Lepisosteus oculatus: one gene and its partner. The protein of the gene in region 1 interacts with the protein of each later gene in a pairwise test. Links are inferred from orthologs where the notes say so. Each region holds a gene or a part of one and is shown in the gene's direction. Other genes may lie near its edges. The genes, in order: ush1c and pre-mRNA splicing regulator USH1G.

What was found.
Region 2: the proteins of ush1c (region 1) and pre-mRNA splicing regulator USH1G interact in binary tests that used the Homo sapiens proteins (3 or more experiments, as listed by UniProt). The link is inferred for Lepisosteus oculatus from reciprocal best matches to the Homo sapiens genes USH1C and USH1G.

The regions. Positions count from the first base shown.
Region 1 is NC_090716.1:12,309,586-12,318,110, forward strand, and holds the start of ush1c (harmonin), read left to right. Parts: upstream 1-4,451; 5' UTR 4,452-4,562; coding exon 4,563-4,640; intron 4,641-4,816; coding exon 4,817-4,884; intron 4,885-6,859; coding exon 6,860-7,003; intron 7,004-7,633; coding exon 7,634-7,772; intron 7,773-8,525. UniProt on the Homo sapiens protein: Anchoring/scaffolding protein that is a part of the functional network formed by USH1C, USH1G, CDH23 and MYO7A that mediates mechanotransduction in cochlear hair cells. Required for normal development and maintenance of cochlear hair cell bundles.
Region 2 is NC_090704.1:43,172,087-43,180,655, forward strand, and holds the start of pre-mRNA splicing regulator USH1G, read left to right. Parts: upstream 1-4,680; 5' UTR 4,681-4,984; coding exon 4,985-5,148; intron 5,149-5,286; exon of another isoform or gene 5,287-6,070; intron 6,071-6,781; exon of another isoform or gene 6,782-6,870; intron 6,871-8,569. Other genes in the region: proton channel OTOP2, read right to left, coding at 429-824, 934-1,024. UniProt on the Homo sapiens protein: Plays a role in pre-mRNA splicing by regulating the release and transfer of U4/U6.U5 tri-small nuclear ribonucleoprotein (tri-snRNP) complexes from their assembly site in Cajal bodies to nuclear speckles, thereby contributing to the assembly of the pre-catalytic spliceosome on target pre-mRNAs.

The DNA.
Region 1 (8,525 bases):
ATGTAGAAGTTTGTTTTTCAGGTGGACTTTCTCTTCTGTTTCAGATCTGAGAGCATCCCTACTCCTGCTTAAAGAATGACGACAGGCACTAATTAACATAATTTATTCAGGCAGGTATCAGAGGCCATGCAAATGAGCAAACTACCGTAATGTTAACCTATGTCAGAAGTCTGTCTTAAAATGTATAAAATGCGTATGTCCGTCTTTAGTCATTAAGTTCTGCTTGAAACAGCTTATTAAAAACGCATTTCGGAGGAAATAGAATATTACTTGCTGTTCAGACTCCTTGCCCAGAGAACGGTCTGATTTAAGCCTCTCCTGTTTTGACTTAAATTATCCGTTATACCAGAGTTGACTTTTATTCTCCTTTTCATTTGAAGGTTTTGTGCCTCGATTGTTTTAAGACTGAGAAGTGTAAACGTAAACTACAAAATAATTAAAATGCATTTGAAAAATTATTATAGACCAAGCTTGTGGTCTACTTTCACAGTTTAAATCCGAATCCGTTAAAAAACAAAAGGAGATTTTTCTGTTCATTGTACTTTACAAAAACAAAACTGAATCAAAAAGGTGAGATGTTAAATTTTTAAGATACCTTCACAATTCCACACAAACCTGTTTGGGAATAGGGGATTGAATAAGTAAGTAGGTCGCCACCTAGCGGAGATCTGAGTTAACACTCACCTGTTTCCCTTCACATTGAAAAAATGTTTATTTGTTAAAGCTATATATACTATATATAGGGCACTTATTTCCAGAAGGGATACATGTTTAAAAGTAAAAGACTTCATTTCAGAGATTAATGTATGCTTATAAAATAGATAACTATCATCATCGTAGTTAACCCCTTATTCTTGTTACGTTAACATTAATACCGTAAGCCATGTTAAATATTTTTTCACCGTTTATTTGTAATTCTTATTCACAAATTAATTATGTTTCAGAAATATTGTCGACCAGAGGTATCTTAATAGGGCGTAGTAAGAACTCGGGTACATTATATTGTACCAGTTCGGAAAGAGATGTCAATCCAGTGGAGAGCGCATTCGTGAAACAGTATTCATTCTTCCCCGAAAGTATTTATTCCTAAAATATAGTGATTTTTAAAAACAAATGCTGGATACAGTATACACAAACTACAAAACGGAAGGAAGCGGTTTGTTGAGAGTATTTGTACGAGGAGACCGGCCGGTATTCACACCGGAGCGGTCTATGCGCAGCAGGTAGCTGTACCTGCGTCTTTCCAGCCTTGTATTGAAAGGAACAGGGAAGCGCCTTGAGCGCTCCGCTCCTCCCAGCGCCGGACAGACAGCCGCAGAGGAGCAGCACTAACGAGCTCGGCAGAGCCGGCAGCGCGGACAGGAGCCCGGTGTTGCGCACAACCATGGAGCGAAAAGTTGCTCGCGAATTCAGGCATAAGGTAGGAAACGCGGGGGCTTGGGATGAGACGTGTGTATCAAGACATGTACAGTACATGTAAAACAGTCTTTTAAAAAAAAAACGCCAAGATGACAAAAGACATGTACTATATGTACTCTGACCCCTATCAATTAACCATGTACATGGGGGAAGGGCGTTGTACGTGGCAGTTATGTACGTTTACTAACTTATTTACTTACTTAATTTATTTTATTTCTTGAATGTTTTTATTATTATGAATTCTAACAGTTGCGGTAATTGTTACTCTTAGCTGAGAAAATGTGTAGCGCAGCTAATGGAGTGTAGTGGAGTGTATCGAAATAACTTGTATTTACTATTTTTAATTTGCTTTTTGTTGGACGGAATTTATAAATTATAGTTCATTTGATACAGTATTGTGTTTCAAAACAGGAGCAAGAATGGGATTACTATGCAAATACTAATCAATACAGTAGGCTGCACTTCAGAAAACGTGATAAACTCTCGCAGTTTCTAGGCCTACATCTGTGATTGATTGGGTTTAGGAACGATGCTACAATGTGAATTTCTAAAAGTTATTGTCAAAAACACTAAATAATACACAAGTCCAGATGCTCAGATGTGGAAAACAGTTAACTGGTAGCATCTGTACACATACAGTACAACACATGGTCTATAAAACATCATGTTGCTAAGGATCATAATTTATAACGTTAAAAACGAACAAAAAAACATCAAATATCTGACACGCCACATGATATGAAAGTTGCACCATGGGTAGGGGTAGGTTCTTCCATATAAAAAAGACTCACTGTGCCTTAGTCGCTAAATTGCGACCCCATAAAGCTGTGCTCTTCAGCACATAATTTATAGATGCTACCAAATATGTTCAGTGAGGCAGAAACATTCTTTGCTGATTTACTGTTGATTAAATTAGAATGACATCAAAGGGGGAGAACGCTGCATAATAAAGGACACTTGGCTTTGAATCAACAGAGCTCGGTTGACCTTTTATCTAATTTGTCACTCCTGATTGTGCTTGAAATGCCGTTTCTGGTTTTTCTGAAGGCTGTACTTTCTGAAAAATGGCACTCAAGAGGAAATATTCCCAAACTGTTTTGTTTTGTGCTACGCATTATGCTCATTTGCAAAAAAGGGGAAATAATCCTTCTTGAAGGAGAGGATTACAAAGATGTTTAAACTCGCTCTTCTTCTGTCATCTCACCTGAGAAGATTACAAACCAGAGGAGGCCATTTGATCCATCTCACGTGTTTGCTGCTACTACTGTGGCTAAACTCTTTCAACCGTGTTCCCATATAGTGAGGATGAACTAACATGAAAATGTAAATTGTTTTCACATGTTGTGCCATTATGTTCAATATCACTCATTTAACAGTGTTTACAGACTTTAAATATATACAGAAAATGTCACTTTTAGATATGCCGTTTTAAATCTTCTCTGGTGCTCTTATTTAACACAAATTGGAATATGTACTTAAGTGCTATTTTCAATTTTTATTTTTAGCTTCTGTTTATTTAATGTCCATTTTTTACGTCATAGTTTGCTGGTATTTCACTATCAGTATGGCAAGTTTTATGGCTTTCAAGTATCAAAGTCTTTGGGGTGGTATGAATTGTGCAATAATGAGTTACGAGACGTATGAATGTTTCTACCTACTCAGCGGTATAGCTGCCATTTTGCACACATCATCTTTAATTACATAGTAAAGGCTCCATTTTAATACAACTCAGGTTGAAATCTAAATTTAGACACAGTGCATTGTGTGCTGCAGATGATTCAGTTAGGAATATTTGCAATCCACTTTTGTACTTTGCAATGCTGCAAGACTGTATTCTCAGAAAGGAAGGGGCTCTAACACTGACTGAACATGCACCTTGAAAATGTGTTGAAAAGGTTTTTAAATATCATGGGAGGAATATTATTTATGCTTGCATGAGGAAGCTTAAAGAAAGGCAGGTAGGGCAGTAGCTGTTGTTGACAATAGGGTCTATTAGTGTTACTTCTTGATGAGCTGTCCCAAAGCGGACAAAGTTGCATCTGTCTGTAATTTGTAAAGTTACAAAGAGAAAGGGGTAGTTGTCAGGACACCACCATCACAGATACCAGAGTACCAACTCCAGTCACAGTGCTGTCAGTCTGTGCTGGTGTAACAGGGCTCATGCACTGAGTCAGTGACAGAAGTGACATCACCCCCTTCTGAAAGCTAGACAGGGTAAGACTCTGTGACAGAAGAGGACCTGGTGTTGAAGTCCACTGCATTCTACAGCTCCACAGGAGCAGAAGTCTCCTCTGGCTGTGTGGTTCTGGGTCACTAGCAGTTGTGATCAGATCCCGGCAGGAGCAGAGTGGAGTCACGCTGATCACTGATGGCATGGAGAACTCTCCCGTTAGAGACCCGGGTGTTTTGGAGTGGCAGGGTTGTCCACAGTCTAGAGCCTGTGATTGGCCTAAACCAGTGCCTCATGACCTGGGATAATGTTGGAGGTGGTTTCATCTTTTAGACGAGACGTTAAACCAAGGCCCTGCTTACTTGGTCAGATTGCATGATAGTGTTTATATGAGTGAGCTTTTTAATTAACCCCAGTGTCCTGACTACTCTGGACTTTCACAATCTGGCCTTCTTAAAGTTTAGCCCTTTGGTGACAACATTTTTCTTTCCTTGTCTGGATCTGCTGTCCCAGGCAGAAGCTTCTTTTCAGCGGTGCATGAATTGCATCACCTACAAAGCGCCTAATAATTTTAATGAATAATATTAGATATTCTTAAAATTCATATTAAAGCAGTTTCTTTGATCAAAACAAACTTAATCTGAAGGAAAGTTTATTTCCAAATGCGACAGAAATCAGACCTTTTTGGGTTACTAATAGAGTCGGGAGAAAAGGCCTCTTTATATACTGTACTGCAGGGCCTGTGGAAAGGAGGCTGTAGTTGAATGTGTTGTAAAGTGACACTGCTCCAGCTGAACCTCCCATTACCACGCATAGAAGTGGCTACTAGTACTGAGCCAGATGAAGGCTGCAGGCTGAGCAGAGAAAGCGATCTGCCCCGGGAACTTATTGTAGACAACAATACCCTCTGGATAACTGTAGCACTGCTCTTGAGCCAGTGATCACTTTACACAAGCAGCTACACTGATTCTGGATGGGAGGAATGTGCTACATTAATGAATGGCCGAAAAGGTTTTTGAAAATATTTGTCCAGCAGTTCAGCCGTTACCAGGTAAGGGACTATATAAACGCATGACTTTCTGCAATGCCGTATGTGGGATCCGTTTTTCATTTTTGTTGAAATCCTTTTGTATGCTCTCTAAAGACGTTCATCAAGTCAGTTCTGAATATGTATATTATCAGCATGTTAAAACAATGTTATCATTGTGTGGTTGCTTTACTTTGTAGGTGGAATTGCTTATTGACAATGAAGCTGAAAAGGATTACCTTTACGATGTGCTGCGGATGTACCACCAGTGAGTCCTGTTTTTTCTTGGCTATTTTCTTCTGATATTGTCCATTTTACCCACTACTATTTATACAATATTTTTAAGATATTTTGTTAATATTCTCAATGTAGACTTATAGTACTGTATCACACTATTAATATTTTACCCATGAATAATAAGTTTTCTTTCCATTTGTGCTGGAAACAGGAAAGTTATTTAAATGTGATGCATGAAATGCAGGTCTCTTAAAATCCCAGCATGTTATGAAATGCAGAACATTTCTCACATCAAGTAAAATGTTTATTTTATGTATAAATGATTGTACTTTTATCATTACTGCATAGCTTAGTAATGTTAGTTCATCTTTTGATTTCAGTGAGACACTCTGCTTATCCACACTGCACATTTTGCATTTAAAAAGACTGAATCGATTTCATACACTTTAATAACTAAACTTCAGCAGATGTGCTTATACGGTATATTCTGTCAAGATTTGTCTGAGGAATACTGACAAAAGAATTCCGCAGTGGGAGGTATTGTTTCCACTGAGTTGTGTAATAATAGCAGCTGAATGGAGTGAAATGTAGATGTTGCAGAAGTTTCCATGTGATCTTTGTAAGGAGGAACAGTTTTGTTTCTCACTGGATATGTATCCAGTTCTCTTTCACTCCCTGTCCAATTGAACCTCTATTCATATTCGCTTTTGCTTGTGCGTCAGAAATGAAATAGCTATGGTTAATAATTTAAAGACTCCACCAGGTTGCTAAATTCATAAACAGCTGTCATACAATGCCAGAGCAGTTTTTATGAGGTATAGTTTACTACAGTGCTTCAGGAACTTGCTGGTACCTTTATGCTCAGCAGCTGTGGAGAACTTTTAAGTGAACCATAACATGATTTATAGAGATCTGCAAAGTACCTCCTATCCAGTGGTTGTCATCGTGTACAGTATACAGTATTACAGAAAATAAGGCACTAATTTAAGCATGAGCTAATGTATTCAGGCAATTTTAAGTTCACTGAGATTTTTTATTATCCAAAAGTATTCTTCACTTTTAGAACTGTTGTCATTGTTTTAATAAGCTAATTTTCCACATTTAATATCTTTGCTTAACTGGATTTGATATACTGTAGATGTCGGTATGGTGCAGTCATTTTCCTTTGACCTATTTTAATTTTTAGGACCTGTTTAGTAATGGAGAATTAATACTTAATTGTGTCAGAAGGCATTATTTTGTTACAGTGCCTCTTAGTTATAAGAAAGTGCATAATATACATTTTTTTTAAAATGACAACCTCACGGAGATGTCCCAAAATATATTATGAAACTACCACAGAGCAAAACAGCTTTTTACATTTACATTTATTTGTGTTAATTGCAACAAGTTTTTTAAGTAGATTTGGTTATCCATTGTATAAACATTTCCAAGAGGTTTTCAGATAATTTTCATTATCTCGTTGCTTGAAAGTCGGGGTGGCAGATATATTTTTAATTGTACAGTACATGATGTTTCAATGTTAAAGTCAATATACATTACACATCACATGTCACAGTATTGTACCGTTTGATAGGAGCAGGAGTCATTAAGGCTATTGACTGAAATGGGTAGGTGTGTCAGGGGGTTACTGCGATGGTATCCTTGAACTAGTGCTTGACTCAGATTGCTCCAGTAAAAAAGCTGCTGTATAAATGCATGCTCTCAAGGTTGCTGTGGTAAATGAGAATTTGTTCTCAGCTGGCTTGTCTGATTGAATAAATCAACCACGTTTAGTCATTCGGATGGTTCCAGGGAGTATTTTAATTCATAATTTCTCACATTTTCTAAATGTTCTATTTCATCAGTGTTCTCAGGCCTCGAGCCTTAAAGGCTGTTTGACACAGAGTAAGTTGTCAAAAGGAGACATTTATTGTTGAGCTCGAGATATACAGCTGTACCCCTGCCATTGCTGGGCTGATGTTAAAGCTCTTTGTTCTGGTAGCCCTTCATCTTTTCTTTCCCAGATCTATGGACCTCCCTGTCTTGGTTGGTGATCTAAAGCTGGTCATTAGTGAGCCAAGCCGCCTGCCTCTTTTTGACTCCATTCGACCTCTCATCCCCCTGAAGCACCAGGTGGAGTATGACCAGCTCACCCCTAAACGGTCAAGGTGAGCAGGCTTCTGCAGATGCCCATGTAACGATGCTGTAAAACAGATGGGCCAAGCTTGGAAGAAATGTAGAAAAGAAAAAAAAAGAGTTTGATATATAATCCCATTTTAACTGAATTGCTGGTTTTCAGATTCACTGATCCACATCTAAATGTAATGGAATGAGTTTAGCAGTGAGACAGAGTTTTTGTGATTGAGGTTGAAAAAGAAACTGGCCCATGAGATTCTATTTGTAAGCAAAAGAAACACAATTTAATGAACATATAAAAATAACATAAGCAACTGTATCTGTTTACTTTAACATTATACAGTGAAATGGATAGGATTACTCCTGAAAGAAGAAAGTATTTCTGTGTTAGCAAAAGAGAAAACAACTGACTAAGTTGAAAAGTTGAAAGGCAGCTATATTTTGAATGTACTGTATAGTACATTATTAGGTTTAAAATGCAAACAATGCAAGCTTGTAAATCACAGCTGATAAGAAAGAATTAAAACAGGTACACATGTTCTATATGGCCTTTCCAGTGTAAGTGTTTGTTTTAATAGTATTACCTTATTGTGATTGGAAAAGGAAACCCAGTGTTTCTGTTTGTCACTTGAATGCGCCACTTTTTCACACTGGAAATGTAGGAAGCTGAAAGAAGTCCGCTTGGACAGAACCCATCCTGAGGGACTGGGACTGAGTGTCCGTGGAGGATTGGAGTTTAACTGTGGGCTTTTCATTTCACAAATAGTCAAGGATGGACAAGCTGACAACGTGGGCCTGCAGGTAAGGAATCTCACTTGCATGCGTGTGCTGGGAATAATGGCGGACACTACACATACAGTACATACAGTAAATATCCATCATATGACCTAAAGCTCTTAGGACATTTGAGGTACTGTATGCAGCAAACTCCTGTCTTGCACCCTGCCAGGATAGGTTCAGGCTGACCACAGCCTTCATCATCTTTCTGATAATGGATCCATGGTGAATCCAAAGAATGTTTGATTGGTTAAAAACAACCCTAAAATGTGACGTGTATTAATGAATTGTTACGGAGGTTCGGGAATGTGCACCAAGTTGATTATTTTCACGAATAATAAGGAAAAAAACATTTTCTTAAAGAAAAAACAAATTAAATGCTGAATGTAACTTTGGCCATTTAAAAACAGCAAACTTTTGAGCATTATACTGGAAAATTTCATACTTTTTATTCGTCTTTCAACAATATCATTATCCTTGCAGCAGTTCATTGGTTACATGTTTTGATGTTTAGAAATAAAATAAAAAATGTCTTTGAGAAGAATATATCTCAAAGTTATACTGCATAAAAATGAACATTACACTTATTTCTAAATATAGGACTCAGCTATTAGACATTTTTTTCTCTATTCTTGCCTGATGGAAACGTTCTAAGGTTTAATCTGATAGATTCCAAAGCCTTGAGGTAGTGTCCGAGTGTCTGTGTCCCGTTGTGTTTCTGGACTGCTCACTTGACATGCCATGCATTTCTTTTGTCCTCTGAACGGGTTCTTATCA
Region 2 (8,569 bases), on another chromosome or scaffold:
TGTCTGCACTGGAACTACCACCCTGACTATTGTAGCCTTTTACTCACTTTGTAATTATGCCTGTGATCCCATTATCCAGAATAACCAAACCCAAATTCCTTTGCATTCTTATTCATCCCAAATTACCAGTTACATTTTTTTGCATCACTTCAAAGCTCAAGAGATTGGCTAAGAAAATATTGCATTTTGTAAACCTTTCACGTTCAAGTGCTGTTTTAAAATGGATTTATTACTGATAATATATACAAGGACTACATTGTACCTTCACAGTAGTGTAATGAATTAATCTGATTTCCTGGTGATACAGTTCTGAACTGATGTACTTTTCTTATAACCAGTCAGTTGAGTCTTACGATTTTACCAACCGCCCTGAAGCAGAACTGAGCCTCGGAGAACAAACTGCACCCCAAAAGCGAAGAGAGGCTCACCTCTTAGCCAAATGGGTCCAGCGTGGCTGTCCTTGTAGAGTATGGCACTGTCCACCTGTGAGGTGTATGCCACATAGAAGATCATCCAGCTAGTGTTCAGGAGGAGGAGGAGTGTCAGGTAGATCTGGACATCGATCTGTGTGATGGCCACCTCGTTAAAGGCTCCCCCACTGACCAGCGCGCAGCCCAGGAACAAGATGTTGACTGTTATGAGGCACGAGATCAGCCTTCCGCGGTTCCGGCCTTTCTCTCTTGGGGGGCTACTGCTGGGGTTCTCTGGCAGGCTGGACGACCTCAGAGGATCCCCCACCACTGCCTGGTCCCTCATCACAGCCACCATAGTGTTAGGACACGGGCTGCCTTCATTCAATTCTCCCTCCATCTTCCGGCAGACGTCTGTGGGGAAGAAGAAATGGTGTCAGCATGCTGTCACAATCAGGCTGCCCACTACCTGAAGTGAGACAGCCAAATCCTTCACTTATTACCTTCTTCTGAGTTAACTTACTGTTTTTTTTCCAGAGCAGCTGGTAGCTGGCATTTTTCTGAAGATGGGGCATTGTAGCAAGTGAAGCTGGGGATGAGCTCACAAGCCTCATCTGCTGTGATGCATTTGCTTGATAACAGCTAAGGACTGCTAATGTCTCTTCCTCATTCCGAACATTTCCTATCTCGTGCTGGAATTTTAGTGTCCTGCTGATTCTAAATAAATTTACCATGAGCCCAAAGTGTTTCCATAATTCCATTTAAGAGTAATGCTCTGTGAAACATATGTTCAGTATATGATTTATAAATCATCTCTAATGCAATTTTTTTTCACAGAACTAACAACCAAAAAAAGGACTGCTTCTATTTTTTCTTTTTAGAAGCATAACTGCATATGAGTAGTTAACAGTCACATCTGCTTTTTATTAGATATCATGTCAGTGCATGAGAAAATATCGATAATTGTTTCTATTGACATTTTTATATTAAGAGATCCACAGAGCTTAGATAACGGTTCCTAGATAACCAAAGATTCAATAAATAATATTTTATTAAACATAAATCTGTAAATGTACTAGGTAAAAATTCTATGAATAATAACGGCGTATAGAGTGAGTCAAAATTCAAATATAATTTTATTTGATTCAAATATTTGCAAAGCAGCTTTAGCAAATTGAATGAGCAAGGAGTGAACACCCTTTAATTTATAGAACACTTTCAAAAGTCAATACAAAAGTCATGAACAAATTACAAATGGAAAAGAAAACACATAAATCACTGTTTGAAAAAAAAACATTTTAAAAGCAGGTGATGGTGGCGGCTCAAAGCCACAGAAGTACAGCAATCTACAGACCTGGGGCTGCAGGACGTCTTACTCACATTTGTAGGCAGACCTTAGATTCTAGAAGGAATCGCAATTTAAAATAGAATATGGCCAAGAGAAGGCGTCAGCAGCAAGTTAATTCAACATGAAGGGCCAGAGTCACTCATGTTGAAGTCAAATGAAAATATTAAAATGTCCTCTATGAGTACCCAACACAGAATCGCTGCAGGATAAGGAAGAAACACGCAACAGTCCTAAGCGAAGAAAGTTGTCAGTCTAAAAACGAATACTGCAGCATGTTCTCATTCAAGCAGATATGCTAAAGGTTCGGTAGATCTTGTTCTAGGTTTAGCAATATCAGCTGACACAGTGACTTCTACCTTAAAAGAAAGAAAATCTGCATTTTGTAATGCTTTACAAACCTCCATTAGCCAATTAGTCCTCGAGGAAAAGAAACACATAGCAGCTCTGTGAGTTGTCTCAGATGCGAGGTACCGTCATATTTGCGAACCATATGGCACTATTTACCTTTTCAGAACTTTTGGAGGAAGTAACGTTGACTGATATATACGTAGAAATGGGCAAATTAAAATATGAATGAAAGTGTTACACCCAAACAGCCCTTGCTTAATCTGGAGCCCTGCTATCTGACCTGCTTCCTTTAACAAGAGGTGATAACACAGTTCAAGGTAAATGCACTCTTTTTCGAGCTTTTATTTTTGCCAGCCGAGGTGAGAGAATAAAAAAGTGTATATATTTAAGATAAAGGCTGGGCTGCCAAACAAACGCCCAGCAAGGCTCACTCTGTTTTTCTTTGGTCTGCTGTAACTTTCTGTTTAACTATTAGAATTTGATCATTCTTTTCCATCTGGCTAGTATATACGAATACACTCACATTAGCAAATGAGTAGTTGCTCATGTGGCCAGTGTAGCAAGGAAAAAATATACACATGCTACCCAGCAGGATTCTCTAAATCTGGTTCCAGAGAACAATGAAGTCTTCTGCTTTTCAATCCAATTGTTTTGCTGAACAAAATAATGGCCTTAATCCGACAAGATAAACATGATCTTTCATCAGTCATTGAAGACCTCATTCAATGACCTCAGGAGCAGGGCTGAATATAGGCTGCAGATTTCTGGTCAATCCTTTTTCAACAGTATTTTGCATTTGCCAGTGTTTGTTTCCGACATCACAATCAGTGGAATATTAGCCCATAAAAGAAGAGAAAGCAAAATTCAGAAACAGAATTCACCAGTCAAGGAAGAGTGCGGCTGATCTTACCTGATGGGTTAGTGGAGTTCCTCTTAGGTTGAAACTCCAGAATCAGTCATCAGCTTTATACCCATCTCCTGTCCCAGTGATTTACTGTCATTTATTTTTCTGTCACTGATTTACCAAATAAAGACATTCAACAGAACATCGTAAATTTAGATTTCTGCAATTCAACAAGCAAAAAAATCAAATATCTCATCAATAACTTATTGCCATTTGAGCCTGTTCATTTATTTAGATTCTAAAGGATAAGGATAATGATATAATAATAAAAGCATGCAGTTAGGCAAAAACTACCCACTCTCTGTCACTGAAGAACTGAACATGAGATCCTCTATGAAGTTGTCCCCCCATAACTGATAATATGTTTCTGTTTTTCTCAACAGCTATATACTTCTGTCAGACCTCTGTGATGCCTTACAATGAACCTTGGCCTTTTCTATACTTTTGTTTGAGCAGGTCTTTCTTTCAAGAGAGGAACAGGACACTTTTTTAATGAAAAGCCAAGGAAAATACATCAGAACGTGTATTTGTACATGCTACAGTTGAAGTGCATTGATTGTGATCTTAACGGGCACAAGATTCCAAAGTTACATTATTACTCAATGTTTTGTCGGCATTGCGTCTGCTGTGATGACACCAAAAGTATAAGATGTTGTGCTCAGTCTTATAGCCATGCCACTTCTGGTTATTGTATGCTTGTTCACCTGATAGCAGTAATATAATTCCATGTATTTAGGTCTCTGTAAAGTCTTTGTTTTCCAGAAATTTACTGAATGATTCTCATTTAAGAGATAATGTTCATGTTTCTGAATTGTAAATCCTACATCAGATTTCTGCATGAGTCATTCTGAGCAGCTTGGACAAAAGTAAAAACATGTACTTTCAGAAATAAAGGAATATTAATATGGATTTTACGATATCAATGTTTTCACAGCCAAATGAACAGCAGCATAGTAATTGGATGCACTGAACTACACTGGAATTATTTAACTTCCCAGTAGCTCTCATAGGCATTCATAATCACCAGAGAAGACTTTGAAACTGTACTATAAATATTATTATAAAATATAAATCACACACAGTTTTTTTTTTCCACAGGGCTGGCGATAGCAAACTTAGTTATTTTTAACTGTGAGAAATGGTCTCAGTTGAAAGGAGAAACAGATAATAAATTATTTATGGAGTGCCATAAAGAAAACTTCTAAAACAAGAAGGATAAGTTGCTCAGAGCATAATATGTAGGGGCATATTAAAATGTCTCATTATTTATTTCATTTCGGTGAATGTGAATTGAAACAAACTAATAAAACTTTACAACATGACAGTTTAAATTTAGTATACAGTATCTATAAATACACTTAGTTGATGTGCCTGCGATGCAAAATTATCAGTGCTAAATGATTTTGTGCAAACATTATTTTGAAGTTATGTAAAATCAGTAAAAGAAGACATATACAAGACTGACATCTAGTAAAATGTAAAACTGGCCACCTGTTTATCTCAATTACATATTTCAGATTAGTGCTTAAATGTATTACTGTACCTTCCTACTTTAATTGCTAAATATGCATACATATTTAAAACCACTAACAGTTCTACGAACATTTTATATTTAAAATATTTTATTTTATACATTGGGTTTGAAACATAAGTTAATAAATATATAAATATGATCAAATTCAACTCCTTATACATTTGACATTCATGATACTTTGAGGCTGTCTCTATTGTTAGGACCCAGGGGACTCTGCAAGGGTAATGCTTTCCTTAAACCACTCCCCGCTCCGCAAACGGCTCAGGTGTCCGTAGCAACCGGACAGGCTTCGCTCTTTTAGCAGCTAGCCCGGGTAGAAAGAGACGGAGCCGCTGTCCCCACCCTCCTGCCGGATTGCCCCTTCCGCATGGAGGGCTAGCTGCCCCCGGCTCCTGCTACCCGATGCTTGGATGTAAAGGTGGAGACGACAGGTTGGCATCATGACTGACAGATACCACAGAGCTGCCCGGGACGGCTATTTGGACTTACTGAAAGAGGCCACCAGGAAGGATCTTAACGCTCCGGACGAAGATGGAATGACACCCACTCTCTGGGCCGCCTATCACGGCAACCTTGAGGCGCTGCGGCTCATAGTGGGAAGAGGGTGAGTTGGAGGCATAAAGTTTCAAAACGCGGTCCTTCTCCAGGGTTTCATATGTGGCAACTACTGCACGCAGGTATTTAATTGGATAATCAACAGAACCGTGCAAGGCAACCCGCTCGGTTTTTTAAAATGCAGGTCTCCATCTGGCAAGTTCTGGTTGCATTGTTCGTGGAGTGTTACATTGAAGAGCCATTTAATTTCAAACAAAATCGTTCCTGCAGGACGACACGCATTTAATGATGTGAAACTACTTTTGCCTAATAAAATAAGGTGAAGAGTGGCGGACTTTAAAATATAAGAGGCTAATATGGCTTTAGTTTTCAGATCTGTTGGACCCAGAAGCTTTCTTCTGTGTACGTATTGTTTTACTTGCACAAAATAGAATTTGCAAATATATGCATGATTTCATAAGTTACTTTTACATTAAAAGTATATTTAAAATAGTGTGAATTGGCTTCTCCCCAGGCGCAGGTGCATATGATCACCTCTGACCTGAAATGGGCTTATAATTGACTGATTGATTGTGGGAGTTACTGTGTGGTGCTGCAGCGTTTAGGTTTTAAGGGCTCAGGATAGCCGGGAGCCTTGGAATAAAGCTGACTTATGTGGCGTGCAAAAAAGTCGTGTAATGAATGATGCTGTTTACATAATTAGGTCAACTCGTTGTAACGCGCATAAAGGGTCCGGACACCGCAGTGTGCCAGTGAAACTGAAAATATGAAACAGGAGAATACAGCCGATCGCTATCTGAGGGGTGCCTGTTGTTAGTTGTTATTCACGGAGAATGGTTCTCTCTCCCATTGTGGGGGTGTCGCCACAGGGTTGCGACTTGAGATGAGGCAGAGTCTTGACTTCTGCTTTGCAGAATCAGTCAGTCCACACCTATCCCATTGTCTTATAAACAAGAACTGCAAACCGTGAGGTGAATATTATTATTATTATTATTATTATTATTATTATTATTATTATTAGTAGTAGTAGTAGTAGTAGTAACAATGATAAAAATGTTTCCTATTTTCTAAGTTGCTTGTCCAGAAAATTTGAAAAAAGGATAACAAAAATAAAGATTTTTTAAAAAACATCTCTATCCACAACTAAGATTACAGAGTCTAAATTATATTCTCTTAGATGGAAATCTTTTAACATGGTCTGACATGATACATAAAACATGTAACGGTGTCTTCTAACAACCCTCTGCCTTGTCTTATCTACACCTTGCAAATGCAATTGAGACATGTCTCGTCAGCTTAAACTGGGGGTTCACTCAAATGCTTTGTCCACACTTTACATCAGTCATTGTGATCACTTGTTACAGGGAGAACTGTATTTAGTCCTGAGGAGCCACAGTCAGTTTAAAGGTCAGTCATGATTCATCAGTTCTTAAAGATGAGGAACAGTTTCATCTTGAGCAGTGAAATACTTCATTTGTTCATATAAAATTTTTTAGATAATTATGTATGTAAGTCTTAGCTCTGTGCAGATTTGGAAAACAGAGTTGCCTACTACTGGCATAATATTTTTTAACCTTTGCTTAACTGATCAAAAAAAGTTTGTTTCCTGTTTTTAAAGTTACTTGTTGGCCTAAATTGTACATTTCCAACACATAAGAAAAAAAAAGCACCATTCTTTTTACCTGCTCATCATCTCAATCAGAGTATCCCCTCTGCCGTTTTTGATTACATTTGATAATTTTAAGATCTGAGCATATGAATGACGTCCAGCTTTCCATCTGCATCTTGTAGATTACTTGTGTGTCATTAAGTCATAATCCCCTGTTGATGACCTCAGAATGCACCTTGCCATAATTGATGACATCACTAGTTGACAAACCTACAAGTATGCAAACTGTGACTGATTGACCCTAGGCTTCGCTAAATGGCACATCAAAAACAATTACTATGTACTGAAATCATTGTGTTAAGCAGTGACTCATGTTGATATTTAAAGTTTTGGTCTTATAAAATAAAATGATCAAAAAGTCCACCCTCAGTATTGGGGCACAGTTCCCTTTGTGTAAGAAATCAGTAGAAAGCTAAAACAAAAAAGTTCTGAGTTTTATAACAAAACCTATACTGGCATCATCATGAAACAGGCTTTGAAACAACTGGCACGAGTGCCAGTGGTTTCTTGCACCATGACACTTTCCCCAGTGAACTGAGAACAGGTGTTGAGAAATGCTGATTGGAAAAGGTCATGCTTAGGTGATCACACACAGAAAGGACTAAGGCACTAAGACCAACCTTACACAAGCAACAAGCAACAGTGTTTTTTAATAAGAGGAAAAAAGGTAAAGTGTACAGTGATCTCAGACAGGGAATAACTAGGATATTTTTCATGTCCGTTTTTCCAAGAGGCCTACTTCTGATAATATGTAAGCAGTTCTTAAATAATAAGAATAATTTCATTTAAGTTTGTGGATCTGTGCTACAGTTTAACATGTGACCAGGTGTTTTCACCAATGGGTACATTCTTGTGAAGTACTGCATATCGTATGGCTTGTTTTCTTATTTTTTGTGTTGAAAATTGTTCAGCTCTTTAAGACACTTGTCAGGTTATGTAGGGCTCCCAGAAAATTAAATGTATTCACAGACTGAAGAGAAGTGAATCGTGTCATCCCTGAGCAAAAGGTGGTAATGGTGTTTTTATCTTTTCAACATCATTCTTCAGTGTAAGGGTTTTTGCTTAAAATTTAAAATTCATTTTTTAGTGTTTTAATCTGGACCTTAGCTTGAGTACATCTTACAATTTCACATTTTTGGCTTCCTGGTCTAAGTGATTTATGGATCACTTAAAGTCCAATATTGTTCCTCTTCAAAACAGAACAGTGTTGTACTGTTTTTGTAATTGTATTTCTATTTTGGGGTATCTTTAGGCATTAGTGATATATGGATATATGGAGGCTTTTGTAGATTTTTTTTATAGATACAGAAACAGTACCCGTGAGACAGACAGAGAGAGGGGTGATGATTTAATCGCTGGGTTGGCAGTTTTATAGCAGGTAGTATATAGTGTTGTCCAATTAAGTTGTAGACAGGAGGGAAGGCTGAATACATTTTCTCAGAAGGAAGTTAAAGGTCAGGATGACAGATTGATGAGCTTTGCCTATATGAGCCTGCTTCTCTTTTAAATCTGCCATGTCCTTGTTGCAGATTGGGAGTTGATCCATCCAGGCATTTTCTACCCTCTTGGCTTGGTATTTCTTAAAAATGCTTTTGATATAAACAGCTATTAAGAAATCAGTTCTTAAGAAACATAAAGCATTAAGTGCCTGTGTGAAGGGTGGAAAGCAGAAATCATGGCTTTTGATGTTTGATGCATATTTTAATAATTTTGAAAGAAAATTAACATGTACTGTAGATTGAGCTTTTTATTTACTGTAGATAGTTTTCTGAATATGACTGATGGGGTTGGAAGTGTGAGA